Linked DNA regions of Mus musculus: all the other regions are reported to be linked to region 1. The links are microRNA targets in miRTarBase. Many come from high-throughput screens and were not tested one by one. Region 1 holds a microRNA gene; each other region holds the end of a gene's coding sequence.

Region 1 (4,068 bases):
CTTGGAAACTGGTGCCACCAGGTAGGATTAAGTGCTGTTGCCTTCACTCTCTGTCTGGACCTGGCTGCTGTCTGTGGGCTGACAGGGAGCTCCACAAGGCAGGCCCTCCCTCATCGGCTCAGGTTCAGCCCTGCCATGTCCAGAGACAGGAACATTTGGCACCTTAGAGAATCAGGGACTCCAAGATCTGTATCTTAGCCTGTCCTTGGTGCAGCTGAAACTGGAACCCAGTTGTCCTCTCTTGTGGAAAAGCCCTCTCCTCCGCCCCCCACCAGCACCTACCATCAGCCAACCAGCAGGATTAGCCACCACTGTGAACCCTGTCCTGAGCCAGGCTTCATTCTGCCAGGAGAGAGCCCCTAAGTCAGGCAGCAGGCACATTCCATAAAAGCAGACTGCAGCTCAGTGCCAAGGGTGGGTCTATTGTGCTGGGAGGGATGTTCCTCATGGAGGAACGAACTGCACAGGCAGAGTCCCAGAAGCTACAATAATGTGTTCACTCCTACTACCAGGAAGGTCTGAGGCCTGCCTTGCTGGTTTAATGGGATTGGAGACCTGGTGATAGATTGTCTGGAAGTGAAAACAAATAACAACAAACAAATAAACAACAACAACAGCCGCAGCAACATTAAAAGAAAAACAAAAAACAACCCAGGTCTTGTCTCAGCACACATCTAGGCACATGTATTTGTATGTATGTATACATATATGTGTATATATATATACATATATATACATACACACCTGCTCATTCAGTCACGTTCATGCATGCAACATGTATGAATTTTGAGAAAGACAGAGAAGACCTGCCTGACCATTTCAAGTTAAATAGACAGAAGCCAGGACAGGGTGAAGTGGGTGAGGGACACCTGAGCCTGCCTAACCTGCTTCCTCACCCACAGTTTTCCAAAGACGTCTTGGTGAACATCTATTCGGCCTATATTGATAACTTCCTCAATGCAAAGGATGCTGTGCGTGTAGCTAAGGAGGCCAGGCCAGCCTTTCTCAAGTTCTTGGAGGTATGTGGACTGGGGTAGGGGTGAAGCTAACATGTCAGGCTAGCTCTGGGCATCCCAGGAGCTCTTGACCAAAAACATTGTGGTGCTTGCAAGTGTGTCAGCCTCTGCCTTTGGGCTCACCTGGAGGGACTTGGCTAGGAGCGTGTCTCTTCCTGCCGTGTCAGTCCTCATGTGAGAACTCCCTCCACTCTGCCTTCGGTTTCAGCAAAGCATGCGTGAGAACAAGGAAAAGCAGGCGCTGTCCGACCTCATGATCAAGCCTGTGCAGAGAATCCCACGCTATGAGCTTCTGGTGAAGGTAACCACGGGCCTGGCTGGACAGGGAGGCCCTGGGGGTCGGGGGGAGGAGTATGTCTGTTCTCAGACTCCAGGCAGGAAAGAAAGTCCTCCTTGATGCCTATACCATGGTCTCTCATGCTCCAGCAGTCAGTTCAATACCTCAGGGCAGCTAAACAGGTCTCCATTCCCGCCCCAGGACCTTCTGAAGCACACACCGGAAGACCATCCAGACCACCCACTGCTGCTCGATGCTCAGCGCAACATCAAGCAGGTGGCTGAGCGCATCAACAAGGGTGTGCGGAGCGCTGAGGAGGCCGAGCGGCATGCCCGCGTGCTTCAGGAGATCGAAGCCCACATCGAGGGCATGGAGGATGTACGTGCCCCACCCTGCCGTGCCCCAACTTGTCCCTGTCTGTGTCTTCATCTGTCACCCGGATTGTGGCCATCCACGTCCAGGTCTGTGGTCAGCTTGCTTCTGTGACCACAGTGCCCCACCCTTCTGTGTCCTCCTCCTCCTCCTCCTCTGTCTGACCTTGTGTCCCTGTCTGGCAGCCCAGTGATGCAAGCGAGGACAGGATGTCGCTCTGGCTGACCTCGTTCATAGAGTGGTCAACCGATCACTGCAGGGTTAATAGACTAATAACTAGTTCTCTCCTACCCACCAGCTCCAGGCCCCCCTGCGGCGGTTCCTGAGGCAGGAGATGGTTATTGAAGTGGTAAGGGTTCTCCCATTGGCTGTTCCCCCAAGTACCTTCAACCCACCCAAGTTCACTCTCTGGCGCCTGCTGCCCTCTGGTTCCTGCTCCCCAAGCACCACACAATGGGAGCCCTGCATGAATCCCGATTCCACATAAGTGGGGGAGAGCCCTCACCCCTCCCTTGGATTTGCTGTTCCTGGGGAACTAGGGTAATGTAGGTCGGCCTCTAGACTGTGCACACTGAGCCTGAATGCCACTTTGGACCCTACAGAAGGCAATTGGAGGCAAGAAGGACCGATCCCTCTTCCTGTTCACAGACCTCATTGTCTGTACCACCCTGAAACGAAAGTCGGGCTCGCTGAGGCGCAGCTCCATGAGCCTGTGAGTGGCCAGGGTGGGGCTGGGTGGTGCAGGCAGGAGAGCCATTGATCTATTGTGGGCTCTACTCCCTGCCCCAGCCAGAGCACCCCATTGGCTACCCACAGGTACACAGCAGCCAGCGTCATTGATACAGCCAGCAAATACAAGATGCTGTGGAAGCTGCCACTGGAAGACACAGACATCATCAAGGGTGAGGCTGGCTGAGTCTGTCAGGGGTTCTGCTGGTGGCTTTCCCCTGAGTCTGCCTGCCTGTCTGTTGGTTTGTCTGCTCTTGTGACTCATCTTTCATCCCATATGAGAGATTGGTTTTGAAGAACCGGGTTAGTTTCCATGCAAATCATCCTCTTAGTGCCCTAGCAAGTTCTCCAAGAGTTGGCCGTTCTGTGCCCTGTGACTCTAAACCAGACCTCTCCTCCCGGGCCTGTTTTTTTTTTCTGAGAGCTACCTGTTGACCTTGTTTCTGAGAGCTTGGGTCTGGAAGTGCTCCCATTTGCCAGACCAATCCCGTGCTCAGCTGAAGGCTGTGCGCTAAGGGAAGTGTGTCTGTCCAAGCTTGACCTTGTTTGATGTGTTCATGGCTTTCCTCTGTCCTCGCCAGGGGCGTCTCAAGCCACCAATCGGGAGACCATCCAAAAAGCCATCAGCCGCCTGGATGAGGACCTGGCCACCCTGGGCCAAATGAGCAAGCTCTCCGAGAGCCTCGGCTTCCCCCACCAGGTCTGTGCCCTGAGCTAAGGCAGTGTTGGCTGGGACTTCCCCTGACCTTGCCTGAGGGACAGACAGTCTTGGCTTTTGCCTGAGGGAGCAGTTGGTCCTGTCACTTATCTGAAGGGGAAAATTATAGTCTTGCTCCCACTTAAGGGAAGTGACAGGTCCGGGGTCTGAGGGAGGAGACCTCTGAGGGGGAGAAAGGCCCATCCCTGTCTGTGGCAGGAGGAGGCTGCCTTCCACGGTCCCCTCGGTGCAGGTGCCCATGTGGTGACACCTTGGCCTGAGGCCTGGGTTCTTTTCCCACAGAGTCTAGACGATGCACTGAGGGATCTCTCGGCCGCCATGCACCGGGACCTGTCAGAAAAGCAGGCGCTATGCTGCTCCCTGGCCTTCCCGCCCACCAAGCTGGAGCTGTGCGCCACCCGGCCCGAGGGCACCGACTCCTACATCTTTGAGTTTCCCCACCCGGATGCCCGCCTGGGCTTTGAGCAGGCCTTTGATGAGGCCAAGAGGAAGCTGGGTGAGCCAGAGTTCATGTTGGTGTCTTCTCTCACAGTCCCTGTGCAGTCCTGACTGTAGAAGCCAGGACTCTCTGAACTGCCCTCCTGTCCTCCAGCGGCCGATAGGGAAGGTGGCCTGAGACTTCCACAGTGAAGCAGCAGGCTGGACATTTGCTCTGGCTCCCAGCTTCTTCCTGGGGGGGAAGGAACTCCTGGACAGAGTCGTTTGGGGACAGGGACCCCAGCATACGCCTGAACCACCAAGACCTTCCTCTTCCTCAGTATAGACTCAGCTAAGTCCTGGAAAGTTATTATTAAGTCTACAGCTTAGAGATCCAGGGCTACTCATTGTACAGAAAGGAAAACTGAGGCCAGACACAAACGGAGTAATCCATGACCTCTCATTCTAGCTGAGCTGGTACCCGGCCCTCCCTAGGGAGACTGGAATGGGGAGGGACCAGAGCCACTGTAAGGTGGGTG
Region 2 (4,068 bases), not on the chromosome of region 1:
TACAGATGCAGAAGCTGTCAGTACTCGTTGGGAGATAATTGCTGAAGATGAAACAAAGGAGACAGAAAATCAAGGCCTGGACATCTCTTCTCCAGGAATGTCTGGCCACAGGCAAGGCCATGACTCACTAGAGCATGATGAGCTTCGAGAGATATTCAATGACCTCAGCAGCAGCAGTGAAGATGAAGAAGACGTAAACATCCTTGACACTGAGGAAGATCTGGAGAGACAGCTACAAGACAAGCTAAATGAATCCGACGAGCAACACCAAGAAAATGAAGGAACCAATCAGTTGGTTATGGGAATTCAGAAGCAGATAGATAACATGAAAGGCAAGCTCCAAGAAACCCAAGACAGGGCAAAGCGCCAGGAAGATCTCATTATGAAGGTAGAAAACCTGGCTCTCAAGAACAGGTTTCAGGCAGTTCTGGATGAGCTCAAACAAAAAGAAGACCGCGAAAAGGAGCAGCTTAGCTCTTTGCAGGAAGAGCTGGAATCACTTCTGGAGAAGTGAGCTTGTTGACTTTAGTCCTTAGACTAGTCAGCTCAAGAAAAAATTATTTTCAGAGTAAGGTCTTGAAATACTTTTTTTTTCTTTGAAATGTTCTTATTCCCTGAGTTTTGTTGAAAATTTTTTGATTGTTTTTCAGAACTATGGTGGTGGGTTTTCATTCTTAAGAAAATAGGATTACATAGACAGGTTTGTTGTAGGGAAGATATAAGAAAGATGAGTGAAATGAAAACACTTGAACTTTTAATCACAGGACTTTATTACAATTTGTTTCCTAAAAGTTTCTAGTCCTTTTTTTTTTTTTTTTTGGTGCTAAGATCAGTAATAAGCTAGCCTACAGGCAGTGAAGTTAATTTCTTTTAAAAGAAATATATTTTTTTTTACCTCAGCAAGTTTCCATGTTACAGAAATGCAAGTTTTTCATAAAGGTTGTTTCTTATACAATAAAAGCTACTAATTTTCACTGTTTATGATGTTGTTCTATGAATACTGAAAGTTGAGGTGGTTCATGGAGTTTAATGACTGAATGGTGTAGATCAAGATAAATCCTGTTCTTTTGTTTTTAGGAAAAGGAAAGCACCAGGTAAGGAAATGGAGAAATTCATTGTTGCATTATATATTAAGGTTCAGGTCCACCCACTTCATCTGGAGGTTTATGAACACTGGGTCTAGAGCCTTCTTAAACTATCCTAGTTTTTATGGATGGATATCTGTATCTTTTTCTTAAGCACTAAGGTTATCTGTAAAATATTGGAAGCAGTTATCAGATAAACTATTCCACATGCTTAGATTAAGATTATATTTTAACTATTGCCAATTTAACTGCTACAATTATTTAATAGACTGATGTTTATTCATATTGTTTCATTAGTATTTCCCAGTATGAAAACCTGTGTCCTGGTCTGGGATTTTAAAATTTCATATACAGAGAAAAATTCTGTGTGTTTTTTTAAATACTAAAAAGCTGCCCCTAGGCAAACTAAGTATGAATTCAGAATGGAAGTCATCTGGCCCCTTTCATTGAGAACTTGCCTTCTGTATTGCTGTTGACGGCTGCCAGAGCCTCTGAAGCCCTAACTAGTCTGAACAGCTTGAGGTCAAGGCATACCAGTACATATCAGTGACTTGATTGTATGATTTTTGGGCCGTGTAATTTGTAGCTTAATCCGTTTGCTTCTATTTTCTTCTCTCTGAAATGGAGGTGATAGTATTACCAGCCGCACAGGGCTATTGGACTGACTTAAATCATAAGGCAGGCTTACTTAGAACAGTACCTGGAATATGGTGAGTGAAGAGTTAACAAAGAAACGTTACCATTTACTAAACTGGATCATAAAAGGCATTAAAGAGTGATAGAGAATAGTAAGGTGTTTACAAAGAAATTTTTTATTTTTGACTCACTCTGTATCTCAGGATGGCCTTGAACTCAGTTCTCTCAATCAAGTGCTGGGACTGTAGGTGTGCATGGGCAGGCCTGGCTTAGGCAACAGCTGTTTTAATTAGGTTTTGTTTCAAATTCAACAAAGGCTCAAACCGTCTATTTTGGAAAAGGTTTAGAATATCTACAGCATAAAAATTGACTCAACTTATTCCTGTAGTTTTCTTGTTTGTTTCTGGATATTTTTATAATAATACTAAAAATGGCATAAGGAGTAATTATCTGTTAATAAAATTTAAAAGATGAAGATTGAGATCTAAATCCTACATTCTCATTAAAGATTCACTTTTCTCATGCAGCTCTTAGCTAAGGAGTATGCTATAAAGACAGTGTCTATGGGTTCAAGGGCAGATTATGCTTGTGTATGTGTGTGTGTTGGGGGTGCTGGGCCTTGGGAACACTAGGCAATTGCTCTGTCACTGATTAGTACATTTTAAGAGGTATCATCTCATGCCTTTATTTGTATACAAAACATTACATTTATGTAGTTTTCTAATGCAAAAATTATAATTTTGTTATATAGACCCTCTAGAGACTTGTCTAAAAATATGAATGTTTATCAACCTGTGAATCTTTTTTTTTTTTTTAAAGATTTATTTCATGTGTGTGAGTACACTGTTGCTGTCTTCAGACACACCGGAAGAGGGAATTGGATCCCATTACAGATGGTTATGAGCCACCATGTGGTTGCTGGGAATTGAACCTAGGACCTCTGGAAGAGCAGTCAGAGCTCTTAACCACTGAGCCATCTCTCCAGTCCCTGTGAATCTCTTATATAATAGTTTTTTCCTAATGTTAGCCACTACAGATGGTAATTAGCTGTAAGGAAGGAACTCATTAAAGTCTGTGCTCAGAGTTGTTGATACCTAAGATCTTTATCCTTTGAAGCCATCTCACAGAGAATAGAAAGTTTACTTTTTTCTGTATAAATTGAACCAATGGAGGCCCCAACTCAAAACACACAGATTAAGAGTGAGGTGAACAGCAGCTGAAAAGGAATTTGTGTGCAAGCTTCTATGTATTTACTGTAGGGGCCTTGTTAAGTCATGTTTAGGCATACATACACGTCTGAGATTGGGTGATTAGGTTCTGCAGCGTTGGCCCCTGGGCTAAGAGCACTTGCTTCTCTTCCAGAGGACCCAGGTTAGGTTTTCAGTGCTTACATGGTGGCTTACAACCTATTGTAAGGCCAATTCTAGGGAATTTAGCTCTCTTCTGATCTCCATGCTGCACATAATTGCAAATTAGTAAAATCTTTTTAAAAATCTTAGAATATTATCTCTAAAGAAAAGTTATCTCAGAGAAAATTCAAATGTCAACAGTTGGACATTTTCCAAAGGAAAGGCCATCTGCTGAAAAATTCTACCTCTTACCATGTACAATCTGAGTTTTAATACCTTACTGTTTTGTTTTTGAGAAAGGGTCTGTAGCCCTTTTGGGATTGTCCCTGTAGATCAGGCTGGCCTTGAATTGAGAAATCTGCTCACACCTGCTTCGGATTAAAGGTGTGTGCCACTCCACCAGGCTAAAACCTTTTAAATATAGTTCATGAAAGCTAATGAAAGAAACACTGATCCCAAATCTGGGGTCCTCTGTAAGGCGGGAGTCCGAGCTCTGCCTTGCCTGTCCCAGAGAAGAGCAGCTGCTGTGGGATGTTTTGTTTCTTGCCACGGACTTAAATGTAGTAGTTTCCAAGTAGTTTGTCTTCTCTATTATTCTTTTTTTTTTTTTTTTTTTAGTTTTTCGATACGGGGTTTCTCTGTATAGCCCTGGCTATCCTGGAATTCACTCTGTAGACCAGGCTGGTCTCGAATTCAGAAATCCGCCTGCCTCTGCTTCCCAAGTGTTGGGATTAAAGGCGTGCGCCACCACGCCCGGCTTCTATTATTTATTTTTGAGGCAGAGCCTTTAATATATATCCCTGGCTGGCCTCAAACTCAACTAGTCTCTGCTTCTTGAATGCTGGAGTTAAAAGTATGTGGCCCCTAGCATGGCCTGTCTTCTCTTTGAAAGCACTGTTCTAAAATCCAGATTGGATCAGCTGAGAGCACCTCTTGTGTAGTTTTGCGTAGTAAGAAATCAGGAATACAAACCCACAGAGAAACATCTTTTCATCCTC
Region 3 (4,068 bases), not on the chromosome of region 1:
ATAAGGGGGTAGTGAGACAGAGGGAGATATTTTTAGAGGCTACAACTTTCCATTTCTCAAATTTTATCTCTTCCTGCTGAGCCCGGGGGCTGGCTCAGAGTGAGGTCTCAGAAGTGTTTTGCTCCAGCAGAGATGGGAAACTCAGAAGCTCAGATGTAGGTCCTTCTCACCCGACATCTACTAACGCCTCTTCTGTTGCTCCCTAGTCATCCAAGGAGGAAGCTGACATGGCCTACTCGGCATTCCTGCTTCAGTCCAGCACCATAGCTGCACAGGTCCACGATGGTCCCCAGGAAGCCTAGGCAGTGCTGACCACCCACCCTTGCCTGTGACAATCAACTTGAGAATCACACTGATCTGCTCGCAGCCCACACTCACCCATCACCTCCGCTCTTCCCTCCTGTCCTCAGAGGTGTGCTGGTTCCTTCCTCGGCCATGGAAGCCTGGCCTAGTTACGCCTGTTTAGGAGAGAGTGTGAGGCGTTCTTTTCTCTATGAAGAGAGTGAGGTGGAAATGAGGAGGAGGTGAACCTGAGAGACATCTCTGGAGGAAGAGGGTTCACAATAGGGGCTCGTTTCAGGAGAAAAGGCCATTTGAATCTTCTTTATAACCATATGATAGGATGTCAGCGTAACTCTTCTCTCCTCCATCTCTCCTTTCCTATCCTCTTGATTCAAACAACACATCTGAGAACTCACTAGGCTTCAGTGCCTACTAAATGCTGAGAGCCAGGCCACAATCTTTCTATAAATATTACTGGAAGAGATGCCATCTCCTCCCAGATTCTGTCTTTTCATTAAGATAAGACATCATTACCAGGCATACCTCCTGCCTCTGTGCCTCATAGGCATACACAAGCCATAAGGGCATCATGATTTTCAGATGAGAAGAGATGTTTCTCAAGAGTGCCTAGTGAGATAGACTAGCGTCAAACCAGATGTGGCAACTCCTGGCTCTTGGCCTACGATCTGTCTTCAAGACCTCTGCTCTTATTAGAGGGAGAACTTTAGCATGGGGGAAAGTAAGAGAAAATGAGTTAAAGGAGCATGGTGGTGTGCTCCTGCAATCCCAATATTAAGAGGTAAAAATAGGATCAGAAGTTCAAGGTAATCCTTGGCTACCTAGGGAGTTTAAGGCCAGCCTGGGATACATTGAGACTTGGATTCAAAGAAGCAGGAGGAGGGAGCAGGAAGAGGAGGAGTAGAAAGGGGGAAGAAGGAGAAGGAAAAAAGAAGAAGAGGAGGAAGAGGAGGAGGAGGAGGAGGAGGAGAAGAAGGAGAAGAAGAAGAAGAAGAAGAAGAAGAAGAAGAAGAAGAAGAAGAAGAAGAAGAAGAAGAAGAAGAAGAAGAAGAAGAAGAAGAAGAAGAAGAAGAAGAAAGACAGACAGACAAAAAGACAAATGGATCTTTCCTGGTCTCACCTTTCCCCTTCCTGTCACTCATGTGGACCTCATATAAGGGAAAGATACTCTCAACCTCTTGTATTTGGAGAGTTTTGAGCAGACAGGTAGAAGATGGAGCCTGGGAGCAGCTGTTTTTCCAATAGTCAAATTAGGACTGTTTCTCTCTGAGCTCTGTTCTTCAACCAGCACCTATAGACCGAAACCAACAAATCAGAAATGTCCATTAATAATTAAAGTCTATGATTGCCACCAAGGAGGCTCAGAGTGCATTTGTCATCCATACCTTAGCTCCTACTTTAGACACCCCAAAATATGTGTTCAAACAAACTCAGCCACCATGAAAGCTAAGCTGAGAGATCTTGAGCATTATGCCCTGGGGACAAATACTGACCAATTTGTTCTTCCTTGAGCTCAATCCTCTCGGACCACCAACTGCAGTACTTTGTCTTAATTCCCTAGCCCTAGCCTAGATCAGTGTCTTGGACTCCCACCCAGGAAAAAAGAGACAGAGAAAATGATGAGGAATGTTTGGTTCCTTTTGTTTGTAATGAGAATACAGATCTAGCTTCCCCAGTAATGATAGAAAGTCATCCCAGAAGAGATATAATTAATTGTAAGCTGTGACACTTGTTTTTGCAGCAATATCCTCATCCAGCCCCAGCCCAGCCCCAGCCCAGCCCCAGCCCCAGCCCCAGCCCAGCCCCAGCCCCAGCCCCATCCCATCCCCATCCCATCCCCATCCCATCCTCAGCCCAGCCCCAGCTCCAGCCCCAGCCCCAGCCCCAGCCCCAGCCCCAGCCCCAGCCCAGCCCCAGCCCCAGCCCAGCCCCAGCCCAGCCCCAGTCCAGTCCCAGCCCAGCCCAGCTCCAGCCCCAGCCCCAGCCCCAGCCCCAGCCCCAGCCCCAGCCCCAGCCCCAGCCCAGCCCCAGCCCAGCCCCAGTCCAGTCCCAGCCCAGCCCAGCTCCAGCCCCAGCCCCAGCCCCAGCCCCAGCCCCAGCCCCAGCCCCAGCCCCAGCCCAAGCCCCAGCCCCAGCCCCAGCCCCAGCCCCATCTCCATCCTGCTTGCAGTGGCTCTGTGTACAACAGAAGTTAAGATTCAATGTCTGCATTCATGTCAATAACCAGAGGCCCGATCCTGGGCTCATCACATGGCCTACCCCAATCCCTGTACCCAGAGGCCAAGAAATGCCACTAAAGCCACAGGTAATGTCATATTATTCCTAACTTGTATTCTCAGTAAGCAGTAGCAAGGGCATTACATAAAGTTCATCTGCTCCCGAGGAAGTTCCTTACAAGAAGGAAGCTGACTCACAGGTGGACCTGAATGTTGTTAGGATGATATTTAATTCTGTACAAAAGATTAATAATCAACGGTGAGAGTGATGATGATAAGCAGATCAGCAATGCCCCACCACCACCACTCAGGGAGTCACTGAAACGTCTGATGACTAGGGAAATTATCTTTGAGAGGCTGTGACATAATGGTACAACTATACAGTAACAAGGCCCACCTAGCAGTTCTGAGATATTTGGGGTGGCGGTTGACTTTACTTTCAATATCAAACCAAACATTTAAGACTTTTCTAACACTCAAGACTGAAGAATTCTTCCAAGAGGTTAGAGACAAACCACTTAGGATAAAGACTATGAAGCTGGACCCCATGGCAAAGAAGCCTGTAGTGTGCCCATCACCCAAGCTTCCCGGAGTATTTAATTGTACTGGGGAGCCTGTACCATAAAAAGAAATAATGAGGCATTATCTCAGAAATAATGCTATTCAAGTGGGAAAGGGGCACACTAGATAAAAGGTTTAAGACTGGGGGCAGAAGTGCCAAGTAAGCTGGCCATGAAACTACAGCAGAAAAGAAAAACAGGTCACCTTGCCATGTGAGCCAAGGGCTCAAGAGAGTATCTTCCAAGGCCCTTCAGTATGGTGGCACATGGCTATAGTCACAACACTAGCGACAGTGAGGCCTGAATACTGTGAATTCCAGGCCAACCTCCACTACCTAGCAAGATCTGTCTCAAAAGTAAATTAAAAAAAGGATTTCTGGGTATGGTGATAGATGAGGAGCTGCCTCTATGTGCCCCAGTGAAGAGGAGTCAGGATTAAAATGACTAGAGTTCCTGTAGGGGGAGATGCTGATATTAAAGTCTGGTGTCCTAATAGGTCCTTGATTTGGTCAATAGAATTGCTGGGCCGAAGGAACAGGTAGGACTTCCGAGTCTCAGGAGGAAAAGGAGACAGAGGAAAAGAGAAGGGCTTTTCTGCCATGCTCTGAAACGAGAAGCACTAAATCATGTAAGATCTCGGGGAAGCTAGAACCAGCGGCCTCTGCCACCAGAGAGGATGGCCAAGGAGATCGAGAAGGCTAGCTGAAAAGTTGAGGGCAGGAGAATCTGTGTTCAGCAATTGTGCTAGCCGGCAAGTTCTAAAGTAATAAAGCTGTGTGTTTTTTATCCGTGGATTCACAGATCTCGGGTGGGGCTGATAACTCGACCCTTCCAGGAGCAAAGGCAGATAGACAAGAGAAGCCGGGTCAGTGTTGGCGGCTAGGTTGCGCTAAGCCGGGAGGAACAAAAAGAAACGGAAGGGGCCCGAGTGTGGGCAGCAGCTGCAGGGTCACTGGTCCCTGACAAAGGTGGTAGCTGGAGGCTTGGCGAAG
Region 4 (4,068 bases), not on the chromosome of region 1:
ATGACTCTCTACATTTTGCTAAATTTCTTTTCTCCAATTTCATCCTCTTTTCCTCTTAACATAATCTCAGGTACCAAGATCAAAGGAGTTCAAATTTCTCAGAAAGGGAAGTTTAAAATCATAATGCTTTTCTTTAATCAGACATCAAGTCCCAAAATCCCTGTTATGTCAGGGTGCTGTCATCCACAGCAAATATTTATTGTTCTTTCAAAACGAGAAAGCAGGAGCGATGACTTCTTACATTCTCATAGGTGCTCAGAAACCCCCACCCCCAAAAGGCCATAAACTATGAGTGACTACTGGCACCCAGGTAACTGGCCATTAACGGACTGTGTAAGGTTGGGGAGGGGCATATTTTATCTATATGAGAACTAAAAGGCAAGTAGTGTAGATTCAGTGCCAGGCATTGACATCAAGATGGACTGATAAAAAAAATTGAAGAGATTTACAGGATCATACTCTCATAGTATAAGAAAGCAAAGGAGTCAAAATTTATCTTAAGTCTGAGAAAAAAACAGAAAAACACCTTATGTAGTAGAACCCTGTAATCTGTGTTTGTTTGTTTGTTTGTTTGTTTGTTTGTTTGTTTGTTTTAATAACACAGTAACTTCTCTGTGGAGAAAAACCAAGAGCAAAAGTAAGTCTGAACACTTTCACAAACTAGCCTAGTAGTGGTTGAGCAAAACAGCCCTGTTTCTCTTTCCCATCTCTGATGAACTGAATTTTATGATCTCACTATGTCATAATTTCACCCAGGGATATGTCCTGTCATGTTTAGTGTGTATATGCTTCTAATCTGTCCTGAACTGCTTGTTCCATAGGGCGTGGTACTATTCCTTCCACAGTTCCGTTTCCCTTTGGCTCTTCTGACTGAACTGGAAAGGCACTCAGACAGTAGGCAAATGTGTAGCCCAAGACCCCAGAGCAATTTCCAACACTCTTTACCAGATCCCATCACACTGAGGGAGCTGTTTTCACTAGGTTTCATGAATTAGTATCTTTAAAATGCTCTGTAATAGGTGTAGATGGCCTGATCTCATGTTCCCACATCATCCTCAGGATTTCTGACAAGAACAGTTGTAATAAACCTATACTCCATCTTACCATTTTTTCCTATGTATTCCATCATACTTATTTTTCCCTCAGCATTACATTCTCTTGAAGGGTAGCTGATCTGAACACGAAGCAGGTGAATGAAGTCAACAAAATATTTTGAACCATAATGGGGAAGAATAAACATTGTTGAAGAAGGTAGCAAGGATTATTCTAAACCTCAAGTTGCTAGTGTATGGCATGCAAGAGTCAGATTTTGAAAAGTGAGTGCATCAGTAAATTGATTAATGAATGAATGAATGAATGAATGAATGATGAATACAAGCCACACCACACAAGAGAGACACCCAGCAGAGAGAACACACCAGCACTCTTTTTCATGTGTGTGCACACCAATGTCGTGAAGCTGTGGTTGCTTTGTAACCAAATAAGGACAGCCTAAGATAAGATTGCTCTTAAGGTACCATGTTCCAAATGACAAAAGATTCCATGAATTGGGAAAGACATTTTATTTCCGAGCTTCTAAGAGGATTCTACAAACATTAAGATACTTAAAGTAAAAAAAAAGAAAAAGAAAAGAAAAAGAAACAAAGAAAGAAAAAATGGAAAAGAAAAGAAGTTGTCAACTGTATTCTGACTACATTCCTATATAAGTAAAAGGATCATATTGATGGTGAGGGGACTTACAGCAGAGTGAGGTTCATTTTCCTTTTGAGTTATTCAGTAATTTTAAATTCAATTGGAGATCAGCATGAACCTAGCAAAATATTCTTTGGATTACAAAGCCTATCTATAAAATAAACGTAACCTGCAATTATGCAAGTACTGAGAATACACATTCCTTCCTGGGATCAAAGACTCTCAAGTGTCAATGTCGACTAAGTTTCTCCCATTGAATTAGTCAACTGATTTGATGTCAATGCAAAGTGAACTGGGAGGGAGTGCATCATAAAAAAACAGTATATAAGGTCTCATGAAATAATCACAATATAGTAAAAAAAAATCAAAATTTTCCATAATCCAAGAGAAAAAAATTGTTTGTGCCCTGTGTTTCAAGAAAAGGAGGGGAAGTGTTTGCAGTGTGACTCTGTGTGATGTCTTCCCAAGTATTGCTTTGTCTGGACCTTTGGTCCGTTGTACAAGTGAAAGGTCCTTCACAGAAGTTCCAATTCCCAGGAAACTAGAGGCAACTGCAGATGACTGTGGCATTATCACAGATCAAATGGCATCAATCATCAATGTTCAGCATCATCCCTGATCTCATTGAGAGTACATGGCCCAAAGCATCTTCTATAATAAAGGTTGGAGAGTGAATTGCCCTTTCTCTCATTAAGACTTGAAATTTTATATTGTTTGAAGACAAAATAAAATTACAGGAGGACAAAAATGAGAACTTTCAACTGTCAGTCAGTCTTTATCCTAATAAAAATTACATAAGGAAAACCAGAGTTGGCTTTGACTCTGCACCCCTTCAACTCCACAATGCTCAAGGCAGGGCATCAAGTCTATATCTAGAACATCGAGAGGTCTGGCAGTCCTCATGAATTTGTCTCTCATAACTATGAGTTCACAGGTTAAATGCATAATATATAACATATTGTAAAATCATAGGCTAATCATAGGCTAGTCTAGATCTCTAATGTCCTTCTTTAGAAGATATACTCCAGGAAAAGCCAGAACATACAAAAAATCATTTACATGAAGTTACAGAATCTTATCTTTAAAAAAACTCAAACATATTTGATTTAAATAAACAATGAGAGCAGCAGACTACAACAGATCATAAATAGGGTTATTAAAGATCACAATTAAATTAGGAATATAAATGGATCATTAGAAACCCTTATTTTTTTTCAATGTTAAGAATCAAACCCAGAATTAAAAAAGAATCTTTTTTTTATTTCAAAGGTTGCTTCTTATATTGAAGCTCATATTAAAGCAACAGTACAATGTTCATAAAATATAAGTGTGATGCTGTAACATTTTCGTACATGTCAGAATACTGATATTTGTATGTATACTAAAATAAGAACTTTAAAATTGTACAAATAGATACATTAAAAATGACATAGAAATAGGGTGCTCCTCACTGAAACAAGACAGTTATATCTGGCACGTATTAGTTTAGGATGAAAGTAGAAGCAAAAAGATTTACAAGAATCAGCAGTAACAAGATTGATGCTCAAGAGACATAATTGTACATTGTATTGTACATACATTGTATGGGTTTAAGCTGGCTGGATATTATATATTTCAAGTTTAAAAACGCACTACAGATAGAGTGTCCATAGTTTAAGGCGAAATTACAGCTCAGAACTGTTGTCCTTTCTAATTTTGTGGAAGCTTCTTTGACAAATTAAAAAATAAAATAAGAGAGACTTAGATGTTCTTAACACATAGACGATTTCCCTTCATTGTAAGTTCACCGTGGACTTCTCCTTCATTTAAATATTTTGTGTGCCAAGTGGTTTTTTTTTTTCTACTGAAGTTGATAAACAACTTCAATATTTGCTTTTTAAGTGGGAAAAGGTACTTCACAGTATTTTCCACTTTGATGTCCTTGCAGTTTTATTAAATGTTTCCTCTCTGTAAAACTCTGCTTGTTTTAAATGAGCCTTTCCTTGATTTAAAAAAATACCTGTTTACACATCTTCTAGATTCTTGAGAATGCCAGACACAGTTCTTAAGGCCAAATTTGTAACATTATTGTTAAGAGTCATCATCAAAAGTGTCTTTGGAGCCATACAAGTCTGCCAGTTTCTTAAAACGAGGTCCCCAGTTCTGTAGATAGTCGTAGTCCAGGTCTGAGTCTGTCGTGGCAGACTCCAAGGAGCTCAGGGACCCAGCCACGGAACCCCGGCCCTCATAACCATAGATTTGGATGGAGTCATAGGGAGGGGCTGTGGGATCATTATCTGCCTCCTGTATTCTTGTGTTGATGAAGTCGTCCACATCCACACTGTTGGGTGCTGGTCGCAGCCCAGGTCTAGGCATATACTGATACTCAGGTTTGAT
Region 5 (4,068 bases), not on the chromosome of region 1:
TGCATGTGTGCATGGTACATCTGTGGGGGTCAGAAGAGGGCGACTTTCTGAGGCAGTTGTCTCCACACCACCTTGTTGAGACAAGGCCTCTCTCTTTCTCGTGTCTGCTGTGGTTTGGACTCCAGGCATCTCTTGAACTTCCTGGGCAGTTCTCCGTCATCTCGTTGTAAGAGTGCTAGGCTGACTGGTGTGTGCCACTGCTTCTGGCTTTTGTGTGAGGAGCTGTGGACTGAGGGTTTAATGAGATGACTCAAAGGCAGCTACAACAGGGGAAGTAAATCTGGCTTCTAAGGTGTACTTCGGGGTTGACCCAAGATTGGCAGGTGTTTACACTAAGCACGCTTACCTGCTAAGCCGTCTTGCCATCCCTGCGCTTTGGATTTTAGAATGTTTTCCTATTCCGTTAGCGTGCCCAGGCCTGTTCCATGTCAGGTCTGGGGTCTGCACAGCTCCCTTGGCTGACGATTGCTTGTGTGTTGTCCTCTTTAGGTAACCTGGATGGAGAAGATCATGCTGCAGAGAGAACCCTGGAGGATGTTTTCCTTCGAAAGTTTATGATGGGCACCTTTCCCGGCTGCCTGGCTGACCAGATTGTTCTGAAGCGCCGGGCCAACCAAGTGGACATCTGTGCCCTGGTCCTCAGGCAGCTGCCAGCACACAAATTCTACTTCCTCGTGGGCTACAGTGAGACTCTGTTGTCACACTTTTACAAGTGTCCTGTGCGACTCCACCTGCAAACTGTGCCCTCCAAGGTCGTGTACAAGTACATATAAAAAGTGCACTTTTCTCCAGTAGAGCCTACAAGGTCACAGAGGTGCAGGAGACCAAATGCCTGTTCTCTGAGGTGGAGGCGTCAGCTCCAAGCTGCTGTTGAATAAAACCCTGATCATGTTTTGTCCCTCTGGGTCTCTCTCTCTTTCTTTTTTTTTTGAGACAGGGTTTCTCTCTATAGCCCTGGCTGTCATGGAACTCACTTTGTAGACCAGGCTGGACTGGAACTCAGAGACCCGCCTGCCTCTGGGTGCTGGGATTAAAGGCGTGTGCCACCACCGCCTGGCCTCTCTTGGTCTCTTTTAAAGATTTTATTTTTAATTATGCGTGGGTGGGTCTGTCTGTGGATGGGTCTGTGTGTGTGTGTATGTGTGTGTGTGTGTGTGTGTGCACATGAGTAGAAGGCATTGGATATTCCTGGAGCTGGAGTTACAGTTAGCTTTTGTAAATGAATTAAACATTCAACAGGAAATCAACAGTGGAAGTACCTTAAGAAAATGGGGAGGTGGGGGGTGGGGAGCCAGGCAATGGTGGTACACACCTTTAATCCCAGCACTCAGGAGGCAGAGGCAGGTGGGTTTCTGAGTTCAAGGCCAGCCTAGTCTACAGAGTGAGTTCCAGGACAGCCAGGGCTATACAGAGAAACCCTGTCTTGAAAAAACAAACAAACAAAGGAAATGGGTGCTGGAGAGCTGGCTCAGCAGTTAAGAGCACTGACTGCTCTTCCAGAGGTCCTGAGTTCAATTCTCAGCAACCACATGGTGGCTCACAACCATCTATAATGGGATCTGATGCCCTTTTCTGGTGTGTCTGAGGACAGTTATAGTGTACTCATATAAAATAGATCAATCTAAAAAAAAAAAAGGAAAAATAGGAAGTGCTGAGCCTGGCTGGATGTCTTGTCCAGTGCTGTACAGTAGGGGGAGGACTGCACTTTGAGGCTGGCCTAGGTTAAGTAGCAAGTTCCAGGCTATACAGCAAGGGTCTATCAGAAAAATCAACAAAATATTGGTCAGTACTTATTACACAAGGGCTGAACTGATGGCTCCCATTAAGAGCATTCGTTGCTTTTTATTAAGGACCAGGGTTCAGTTCCACCACTCACAAGGCACCTCACAACCATCTGTAACTCTAGTTCCAGGGAATCCAGTGCCCTCTCTGGCCTCTGCAGGTACTTTGTCACATGGCGAATAAACATACGCATAGGCAAAACACAAAGCTTTAAAAATTTAAGGATAAGACAGGATACTATGAATAATCTATATCAACATTTTTCAGCACAGATAAAACAGGGTAATTCCTGCCACGGACTGGGCTCAGTCGGTCCTTCAACCTGTGGGGGAACCAGGATACCCATAGAGGTGAGCAAGGAGTTGGAGGATGACAAAACAGACACAGACACCAGAGAGAGAGTGCTGTATCTGATTGTAATTTCTCAAAGCGAACGCCAGACTTACAATACAGAAGAAAAACAAGAAAGCTAGGTGATATTTCAGCCAAGGTACATTGAGATGCATAATGGTTCTTCACACAAAACAAAGAATGCATACAATAAAAAGCTGACAGGAGCCAGGCAGTGTTTTCAACTGAGATAGGAATAGCCCTATTTAAAGTCAGCTATTCACAGGAGCCAGGTGAAAGGTCTGATGCAATGTTAGTGTATTGTTAAGCCCACCAGCAGGGGTCCCTTAGTAAATACCTACTTATGCTGTTCCTTTGGGCCAGGGGAATTCTGTTCTACTAACCCTTTCATGAATAATACAATACTTTACTTCCCCCTAATGTGATGTAGGCTGCCATTCATTTCTGCAATGGGAATTCTAAGTTTACTATTTTGAACTAGACTGAGAATGCTAGCTCCTATCCGGCAAACTGAGATGCCTGATTACTGTCAACACTGGGGCATTTCGTCTGGATGAATAACATTCTTACGAAATTCCAAGCCCAGGGTCAGCTCAAGGACTGCCTAGGACATTGGTGAAGGCCCGGAAGCAAAGTTCAATTTGATTTAGGTATTAGTAAAATCATTTCTTAGAGGCACCTATAATAAAACAATATTGAAAGAAAGCACACAGACCCATTCACTGACTAACGCTGGGACAGGTTTGGAGCATCTGTGCCAAGGTTCCAGGAGACTGAGTTTCCTTGACTGTATCCAAGCTTTTGGCCTTGTCACACAGTCTTTACTGGAGTGGGTGTGGCAATTTCCCTAAAAGGCAGAATATCCAAATACAAGATAGAGACTCAAAACCAAACATGTCTATGATAAAAAATTTAAAGTATCTTAAGACATTTGTATTTTACACATTTGTTTTGCCTGTGTGCATTGGAATAAGTGTGTTCTTGTTGGAGGAAATGACACTACTAGGCCCCAAGTGGAGGCTTTCTGGGAGCTGCTGATCTTCAGTTGACCTTGGAAGCCTGAGAGAGATGGGTCTGATGTCAGTGAAGGAATGCAACAGGATAGGTGGTGCGCTTGCTCATAGTGATACTACTAGGAGGTATGTCCTTTTTAGAATAGGTGTGCTCTTGTTGGAGGAAGTGTGTCACTATGGGAGTGGGCTTTTGGGTCCTATGCTCCACCCAGTGTGGAAGAGACCTTCCTCATGGCTGTCTGCAGAAGAGCCAGTCAAGATGTAGAACTCTCAGGTCCTTTCCAGCAGCCTATATGCCCGGACGCTGCCATGCTTCCTGCCATCATGATAATGGACTGACTCTCTGAAACTAGCCAGCTCCAAGTAAATGTTTGCCTTTATAAAAGTTGCCTTGGTTATGGTGTCTCTTCACAGCATTGAAGCTCTAAGGCACAATCTCAAAACTTTATTATTAATATGCAGGACATTATGAATTTACACATTTTCAGTAGCATTTATAGAACCACCTCTGGAAACAAATACAGTAATTATGAGTAATCATATGATTCAGAATATACAGTGCTTATCTTGAATCCATTCTGGCTAAAACCAGGCTGCTTCTGTGATAAGATGTTGAACAAATATCTACAAAACACTGTAATCTGCCCATGCTTTCTTTCTTTCTTTCTTTCTTTTTTAATTAGGTATTTTCCTCGTTTACATTTTCAATGCTATCCCAAAGGTCCCCCATACCCCCCCCCCCCGCCCATGCTTTCTTGAAGAACTTTATAAACACACATAGAAAAGCAAGGCGGCTCACATTGTCTGTTCAGTTGCTTCTCAGGGAGTTAATCCTGATGCTTTGTCTTTAGTATTTCATGTGGGCTGTCAGCATGACCAGGCCAGGAATCAACTAAAAGGCACACCTGTGAGGGATGTTCTT
Region 6 (4,061 bases), not on the chromosome of region 1:
CTACGGGGAGAGAAGAAATTGTAAAAGAGGGTTGTTTTAACCTATTCATTATGTTTATCAGAGTCTTTAGGGCATAGATGAGCTTTCAGTCCTGAAAGGTTAGAAGGCCTGTTCTATTACCTACATGGTTAACAGCAAAATTGAGATGAGAGAAAGCAGTATTAAAAGCAGGTAGATATGAAGCTAGAAGTGGCCAGTCTTACTATGCCAGTAAGACCTCGTACACCTTGCTTCTCTGTTCACTAAAACTTTCATTTCTTTCAGATTTCGACTACTGGGATTATGTTGTCCCTGAGCCCAACCTCAACGAGGTGGTATTTGAAGAGACAACATGCCAGAATTTGGTTAAAATGTTGGAGAACTGTCTGTCCAGATCAAAGCAAACCAAACTTGGTTGCTCTAAGGTCTTGGTCCCTGAGAAACTGACCCAGAGAATTGCTCAAGATGTCCTGCGGCTCTCGTCCACGGAGCCCTGCGGCCTTCGGGGTTGTGTTATGCACGTGAACTTGGAGATTGAAAATGTATGTAAAAAGCTGGATAGGATCGTGTGTGATGCTAGCGTGGTGCCGACCTTTGAGCTCACGCTTGTGTTTAAGCAGGAGAGCTGCCCGTGGACCAGCCTCAAGGACTTCTTCTTTAGCAGAGGTCGCTTCTCCTCAGGCCTTAAGCGAACTCTGATTCTCAGCTCAGGATTTCGACTTGTGAAGAAAAAACTGTACTCCCTGATTGGAACGACAGTCATTGAAGAGTGCTAAGGAGGAAAAACAATTAAAGGCCCCTAATGAGTGGATAATAAACCTCTGAAGCTATCCAGCCAGTCATTTGTAGTTTGCCTGCTTGCCCTCACCAGGAAATCCCAGATTTAGGCCCTTTTCCTTCTGTGTGTCTCACCCATAGCAACCCACTTTAAAGGCTGATTTTTTTTTTTTTTGTCCAGCTTTTAAGACATAATTCAAGAGAGCAAATTGCCCACATATGTGTCCATATGGGATAGAATGGAATAAGGAGGAAAAAGAAGCAATCTCCTTTAATTTTATATTTGGTCTCATATTTAGCAGGTAGTCTTAGCAACAGAGCAAGATCCACTTTGCCTAATTTGACTTTCATGTGCCCAGGGCTTGCTGTTATTGTACCCGCCTCTCTCTCTCTCTCTCTCTCTCTCTCTGTGTGTGTGTGTGTGTGTGTGTGTATATATATATATCTGTCTGTCTCTCTCTGTCTCTCTGTCTCTCTCTCTCTCCTCCCCTCCCTCCCTCTCTGAGAGCCATCTTTTCAATGACAGGACCTGACAAGATGATGTGCAGCCCCATCAAAACATATAGAGATCTGCACTACCAGCTTCCTCCCTGAATTTGAAGAGCTTTTACACAAGAGGGTACAGTTAAATTGATCCGCTGGATTAAAACATCACCTTACATAGAGCGAATAAACATCACAGTGACAAGAGCATGGCTTCCCTGCCTGGTGGTCTCCCCACACCCGTGCCCAGGAGACACGAGAAGTGTGCCTCTTACTGCAATGATTACATGATGGCTTTCAGTGCCTTTGTAGTATTGTGTCAACTTGGTTTTCCTAGTTACCAACTGTTGAATGTTATCATTTTTTACATTGTCTTTGAGTAGATAAAAAAAAAAAAAGAAATGACTGTCTTTTTGCATAGAGTTGATTTGACTGAGCAAATATTGATTACCCATCTCTAAAGATGGAGAAGGGTAATTTCAGATCCCGTCCCTTTCGGATCCACTAGGTCACATTGCTGCTTTGTGCCACCAAGATGCTTCCTCTCCAGTGAAGTGTCTCACCACATGGCAGTTAGCTCATCTCTGGTCTTTTCTAGGAACTGGATCACCTTTCCTTAACATCACACTTCTTTTTAGTTACCAATGTGCTTATATTGGCAGAGCCTGACTTGACTCTGAGATGTTGTTGCTACCACAGACTAGATATGAAAGTCCTATGATAACTTAAGACAATCACTGCACATACCCAGCTCCATCCACTATATCACAGCCCATTCCTAGGAAACAGCAAATGCCTCTTTTGCTTAGCTTTTGCTTCATTTCAAGTAACTAGATGTTTCTCAGGTTTTATGGCCATGAGACAATTTACCTTCCACGTAACTCTGTTCTATTCAGCAAGGTCTTTTCTTCCTTGGGTCATGGAAAGTAACATTTTCGGGTCACCTGCCTAGGCCTTCAGTATGAGTTTGTATACCTCAGGCACCAGCTTGGCTGGGACAAATGTCTTCATCCTGACCTTACACAAACAAGCCTGATAGTTACTGGTCTTATGGGTGACCTAGGACATCACTGTTCCAATGAGCACGTCTTCTAACTTGGGGAGGTACCACGGAGCTAGTCTTCACAAGACTGGGCCAGTAGGCAAAACCCTGTTGATCTGTAGGCTTACAGATGCCCAGGTTCTGAAGGTCGCTGTGTTTCTGTAGCTGTTTTGAGTCTTGCTGGGGAAGATGGTGAGGCTTCTCAGGCATGGACATAGATCTTTTACCCGTTAGCAGTTCTCTGGTTCTCCTGCCCATTTGACTCTCAAAATAGTAATGGCTGAAGGAGGCTCTTGCAATAACAATCCTGTTAAAGTCAATTTTTTACAATAAAATGTTATATATTTTTAATTCCCTTGGCCTCTTTGTTTTTTCTGCATTTGTGTCATGATCACCCTAGAAGAGACTTGACTGTATTTGGAGAAAGATAATGAGTTACACTTATTTTGAATACTTATACCTCAATAAAGAATGCATCTTTCTCATAATTTTCAGTATTTCTCATATTTTCTATAGGAAGACATTAATGATCTGAGCACCAATGGCAACTGCCTTGTTCAAAACAAATATCAAAACTTATTGTATGAAGACTTTTTGCATAGTTTCAAATATATAACTAATTATATGACCAGCATACATATTCAATTTTCCTAATCTATTAAATGACAGACCTTCCTTAACTCCCCTATTATTCAATTAGAATTTAATTTTTCACATACCTTTTCTATCTCTTCAAATTAATGTTCATTCCCTCGGATTTCTTGTGGTATAACCTCAAACATTTGAAAGATAAGCTAACAATATTATACACAGTGAAGACAGCATAGACAGGGCCAGAAACATTTGCTTGGAAAAGAGATTTGAAAAGGTATAGTCTTAATTTATGCTTTGGATTGAAACTATAGCTTCAAGCTTGCTAAACAAAGACCCCACTGCTCCTGTACTTGGTGTAGGACTCCAAAAGCAAATGCTTAGTGTGGTTTCAAATCGGGTAGAGAAAAATGAGGAAACTATTGGCAAGACGCATCGGTAGCAGGAATTGGCTCAGACTTTAAAACCTGTCCATAGGCTAGTGAGATGACATGGTGGCACAGGTGAGATGGCATGGTGGCACCGGGTAAAGCCGCTTGCCACCAAGCCTGACCACTTGATTTGATCACTTAGTGATTATTTTTTTAATGTAAGAGATTAAACCAGTGAGTGTGGGGTGAGTGTGGGGGTGGGGTGGGGAGTCTTGGGGTGTATATAGTGGTGGTAGAGTATTAGTATGTGTGTGTGTTGTGTGTGCATGTGTGTGCTGGTGGTAGTAGGGTGTGTAGGTGGTGTTTATATGTATGTGTGTGTGGTGGTATGTGTGTGTGTGGTGGTGTATGGTATGTAAGTGTGTTGTAGGAGGAAGGATATGTGTTGTTGGTGGGTGGGTGGGTGTTAGGGGTGTGTGTGTGTGTATGTATTATTGTGTGTGTGGTGTGTGGTGTGTGTTAGTGGTATGTGTATGGTGTGTGATATGTGTGTGAGTGTGTGTTAGTAATGTGTGTTATGTGTGTGTGTGTGTGTGTGTGTGTGTGTGTGTGTGTGTGTGTGTGGTAGTATGTGTGTGTGTGAGTGTATGTTGTTGGTGTGTGTGTTAGTGGTATGTATGGCATGTGTGTGAGTGTGTGTTGGTGGTGTGTGTGTGGTAGTGTGTGTGTGTGTGTGTTGATGGTGTGTGTGTTGATGGTGTGGTATGTATGTGTGTGTGTGTGTGTGTGTGTGTGTGTGTGAAGGCTGTTATATGCAT
Region 7 (4,057 bases), not on the chromosome of region 1:
TCTGTATATGCAACCTTGGGAAATGTGACATGTATTTTATCTCATTTTCATAAAAGATTTACAAAGACTCCAAAAAGGTTTAGTGTTTAGTGTTTGTTTGCTTATTAAGATTGCAATTCTCCAAAGGCCCAATGTTTCCATAGACTGTGAAGCTGTGCAGACAACAGTTTACCTCATACAACAGACTATAAATGTCAAAACGGCTTAAACACTCACACTAGTGAGCTTGTTGGAACTCCTTGTACTGTTTATTTTAATGAATAGGAAAAAGCACACTTTTACTCAGGCCTATGTAAGTTATCAGAAAATGCATCCTCGATTGCCTACTGCACAGTAAACTGTATACAACAGCCACTATAACAAACAAAATTTTAGAGTCAGGCATAATATGCAACTTCTTCAATTTTTTATATTTACACTGTGGGTTATTCTCATCACAAGATCAGTACTTTTACCCTAAAAGTTTGCTTAGATAGTATAGATAAATCTTCCAGAATATGCACTGAATAAACTCCTTGGCACTTCCCAGAGCTTTGCCTTCGTCACAGGTTGATGTTAAAAGATGGTCTCATTGTAGACATCACAGCAGTAGAGGAACAATTGTGTCCATATCAGAGGCTCACAATAAAGAGCCCTGGAGCCTCGAAACAAGTCCCTTCTCAGTGCCTTTCCTCAGTTGAAATGCATGGTCATGTTAACTGCAGAGTTTTACCAACTATAATTAGGGAAGACAGAGACTTGGTTCTTCATGCCTCTGTTTTTAAGATGCCAACATCTTATTTCTGTAGAAAATAAATCTGCTCAGAAAGTAAGTGAACTGTCGGAAAGTTTGTCCAAGCTTTGAGTACTCTTGAAATGAAAGATGATAACACTTATGTAATGCAACAGTAATCATAAATTGTAATGCCTTTTTACAATCATATGCATTCTACATGTACATGCACATACATATACACACATATTCATAAACACTCACATGCATGCACACAGGAACACACATACATATATGTATACATATGTACATCACAAAAACCAGCATGTAGCTGTCAGCTTAAATTTAAATTGTGCATGCTCTTTACAACTCCGTGCTCAAGTTACACCAAAAATCATTGTCTATTCTCTGATATATTCTCTACATAGGAATCAGTTGTGCGATTGATCACTTGTCTTAAGATTATCACATAATAGTGTGTATTCCTTTCGAATCACTATAAATAATTTCCTTTAAGTCTTCAACAAGACTTAAACAAATTAAGCTATTAGCTTAATTTCTTTCAATTTACTTAGGAGAATTTACCAAAAGCAGTAATCATATCTAGTGTAAACTACCAATCAAAAGCAAAAGTTTTTGAAGATAGTATTTTGAGTCCTAGAATCTGAAGTCATTTTTATAGATAAAAACAATTTTGAAAGGCTGGAGTGATGGCTCAGCAGTTAAGAACGGCAGCTGCTTGAAAATGGTGCTCTCATTTCCTCAGACAAAGAGATGAGATGAAAGCCATACTCTAGCTGTGTAAATACACAGCTTAGGCTGAGCTCAGAGCATTTTTTTCTCTGTTCTACTTACCCCTAGGCCTAGGCCTAAAAGCTTCTACTCTCCAAACAATCTAATCTTCCAAACTAACCGATTCAATCTGGCTTCTCTCCACTTCTGCCTGATTGCTTGCTTGGCCTCATACTAACTTTGTCAATAAGCTCTGCTCTTCTGGATTCTTCCCATTCTTTGGTTCACTCTGTCTTCACCTGCACCCATCTTGTTCTCTCTGCAGCTGATCTATGTAAAACTGTCCTGGGAAAACTAAAATTGCCATAAACACAAACACACACCAGAGCCCCTTTCTCTCTCTCTCTCTCTCTCTCTCTCTCTCTCTCTCTCTCTCTCTCTCTCTCTCTCTCTCCTCTCTCCTCTCTCCCTCTCTACTCTGCTCCTCAGTATCCTCTCTTTCCTGTGCTATTCCCATGTGAGTTAGGCATATCCTTTCTCTAACTCATTCGGTCAAAACTTTCTCTGATTCATCACTCCATCTGCCCCTCAATTGGACATTGCTTTCAAAAGTGACTACTTCCTTCTACAAACTAACTTTATCTTCATTGTTAGGAATTAAATGTGTGTACTAAGGGTGTATCTATATTATAGCCAGGTCCAGGCATGTCTGCATTCCAGCCGGATCTTATAGACCTAGAAGGTCTTTGGATGTGATCTCTTGACAGAGAAATCATGTTGAAGATACTATTTTAAGTCTATTGAATTCACATGGTTTCGGGATGATGCACATGATGCACAGAAATGCATTCAGGTAAAACATCCATACACACTGCAAAAACTAGTAATAGTCTTTAAATGAAGCCAAACTTGATGGAAGCAAGGAAACATTTTAAATATGAAAATACATTTCCATATAAAACATAATCACTAACCCTAATCAGTGCTGAACCTAATGTTTAGAATGATTACTGAAATTGAGTATCTTTGTGTTAAATTATAAAAACAAAGGAGAAGTGTGAATTAAGATTGGGAAACTTGGCAACAGAATCTTAGCCTCAGGTTAACTGCAACAGTGGGGCCAAACTCCTGGCTAATTCTAGATCTTTCCACTCCTCACTGACAACACAGGCTTTTGGAAGTGTGGTTCAACTTATTTAGTGAAATTGCTGTTAACAGAACTTCCTTCTGTCTGTGTGTGTGTGTGTAAGGCAGAAACAGAATAGCTGCAAACAGACTTCAAATGTGTCTTGATTGTTTTTCTTTTATTCTCTGACACAGAAAGGACAACTCAGATAAAGCAACGTTTGCCATGTTCTTGGCATGTGTAAGTGGGTTTCCAATGTTTCTATCGTCTATAATAGGGCTCATGATAGGCTGTCATGAGCTGAATCTGTGCTAAGACAAAGCCGGCATTTCTCTACAATTTTCAGAGGAACTGGAGATTACTTAGACACTGAAAACCTATGACTTTATAGGAGGATAACAAATATGGAAAAATAATTAACCTTCATAACAACAAATGCAAGCACTCATACCTGTCAGTTGTGACAAGAATGATTATCCTCATCAGCCTCACAATATCAGGCTGGCCAACCTACACAGTGGCCATCAAAGTCACCGTGAGTCTCAGATGTCATGGTCATGCAGATATTGATTGAGGACACATGGACTGGTAAACAGAGCAGAACCGCACACGCAAACAGAAAAAATGACTTGTGTCATTTTAAGCTTTGTCTGTAAGTCAGGGATCCTCAAATGCCATGTCACAGTGCAAGTAGCATAAGGTGCTTGGAAAAATAGGTCAAATAAAGGCACTAGGCCTCAACAGATTCATTTATTCCAAGAACGTAAGCCACACAGATTAAACTCAAATGTGTGTTCTACTCAAGGACACCACATTGTATCTGTCTATCTCCTGTTGACACAAACAAATGAAATACACAACCATGCAGCAGTCAGCTTAACAAAAGTCAGAAGGTGTGTCTGACCAGTGTTCTCCCAAACTACACAGAGGTCCAAATGTTCCAGTTACACGATGAGTCGGATCAACTGAGATGTTTCAGAAGTTTCCGTGACTTTCTTCTAATACTGCATTGATTTACAGTCCAGCTTCACTCGATGCTTGCTGGCTCTCCTTCTCTGCAGCTGGTGACTCAGAAATAGCAGCAACCTTTAAGGAATTCTTGATGGAGCTGAGTTCCCAGATATGCAAGCTGATGATGTTAACTCCACAGCAACGACTGGCAAGTTTATACAGGTTCCTAAGGACAGCCTTCCGTAGCAGAATATAGACCCAGGGATCTAAGATCTGATTCCACGTTGCCATGCGGAGAGCAAAAAGTGTCGTTTCACAGGTCACTGGGGAATTATTTCCATTTATTGCAATGTTGGCCATTGTTACCTAGAAAACAAGCAAAATAGGAAAAGCTGTTGATCACAGACATTTCTTCATTCCCACAGTTTTTCAAGTTGACAACAAATATAACATGACCTTTGTACCACATCTCACAAAGTGCTGCCATGTTGCAAAATACTGATGGATATAAATGCATGATGCCATAAATCATGGAT

Evidence for each region. The annotated mature microRNA mmu-miR-3102-3p reads GAGCACCCCAUUGGCUACCCACA and lies in region 1 at 2,458-2,480, shown strand. An mRNA with a match to its seed (bases 2 to 7 or 8) in the 3' UTR can be bound and repressed. Matches are read on the target gene's strand: a 7mer-m8 pairs with bases 2 to 8, a 7mer-A1 pairs with bases 2 to 7 and ends in A, and an 8mer does both.
Region 2: miRTarBase lists Taf7 as a target of mmu-miR-3102-3p. Seed matches in the 3' UTR shown: 7mer-A1 at 820-826 and 7mer-m8 at 2,329-2,335.
Region 3: miRTarBase lists Pigr as a target of mmu-miR-3102-3p. The part of its 3' UTR that is shown has no 7-base or 8-base seed match.
Region 4: miRTarBase lists Cdh11 as a target of mmu-miR-3102-3p. The part of its 3' UTR that is shown has no 7-base or 8-base seed match.
Region 5: miRTarBase lists Mrps24 as a target of mmu-miR-3102-3p. Seed matches in the 3' UTR shown: 7mer-m8 at 1,020-1,026.
Region 6: miRTarBase lists Ddit4l as a target of mmu-miR-3102-3p. The part of its 3' UTR that is shown has no 7-base or 8-base seed match.
Region 7: the mRNA of Ptgfr is a reported target of mmu-miR-3102-3p. The part of its 3' UTR that is shown has no 7-base or 8-base seed match.

What each region holds. Positions count from the first base shown.
Region 1 is chr7:100,880,719-100,884,786 of GRCm38, reverse strand. Mir3102 (microRNA 3102) reads left to right here and starts at 2,378; the gene lies at 2,378-2,481. Arhgef17 (Rho guanine nucleotide exchange factor (GEF) 17) reads left to right here. Exons shown (of 21, transcript NM_001081116.1): 4 at 903-1,019; 5 at 1,225-1,317; 6 at 1,495-1,671; 7 at 1,964-2,014; 8 at 2,268-2,377; 9 at 2,482-2,567; 10 at 2,976-3,094; 11 at 3,395-3,608.
Region 2 is chr18:37,638,933-37,643,000 of GRCm38, reverse strand. Taf7 (TATA-box binding protein associated factor 7) reads left to right here. Exons shown (of 2, transcript NM_175770.4): 2 at 1-2,510. The coding sequence ends at 514. The region is part of intron 1 of Gm37013 (predicted gene, 37013); the gene reads right to left. The region is part of intron 1 of Gm38666 (predicted gene, 38666); the gene reads right to left. All of the region lies in intron 1 of Gm38667 (predicted gene, 38667), which reads right to left. Among named protein-coding and RNA genes, the nearest start is that of Slc25a2, 2.2 kb to the right of the region's middle.
Region 3 is chr1:130,850,595-130,854,662 of GRCm38, forward strand. Pigr (polymeric immunoglobulin receptor) reads left to right here. Exons shown (of 11, transcript NM_011082.3): 11 at 207-1,655. The coding sequence ends at 302. Among named protein-coding and RNA genes, the nearest start is that of Fcmr, 13 kb to the right of the region's middle.
Region 4 is chr8:102,630,552-102,634,619 of GRCm38, forward strand. Cdh11 (cadherin 11) reads right to left here. Exons shown (of 13, transcript NM_009866.5): 13 at 1,544-4,068. The coding sequence ends at 3,763. Among named protein-coding and RNA genes, the nearest start is that of Cdh11, 150 kb to the right of the region's middle.
Region 5 is chr11:5,701,154-5,705,221 of GRCm38, reverse strand. Mrps24 (mitochondrial ribosomal protein S24) reads left to right here. Exons shown (of 4, transcript NM_026080.3): 4 at 490-1,240. The coding sequence ends at 773. Among named protein-coding and RNA genes, the nearest start is that of Mrps24, 4.5 kb to the left of the region's middle.
Region 6 is chr3:137,625,702-137,629,762 of GRCm38, forward strand. It overlaps Ddit4l (DNA-damage-inducible transcript 4-like), which reads left to right. Exons shown (of 3, transcript NM_030143.4): 3 at 265-2,631. The coding sequence ends at 755. Among named protein-coding and RNA genes, the nearest start is that of Ddit4l, 4.1 kb to the left of the region's middle.
Region 7 is chr3:151,798,040-151,802,096 of GRCm38, forward strand. Ptgfr (prostaglandin F receptor) reads right to left here. Exons shown (of 3, transcript NM_008966.3): 3 at 571-3,887. The coding sequence ends at 3,585. Among named protein-coding and RNA genes, the nearest start is that of Ifi44l, 37 kb to the left of the region's middle.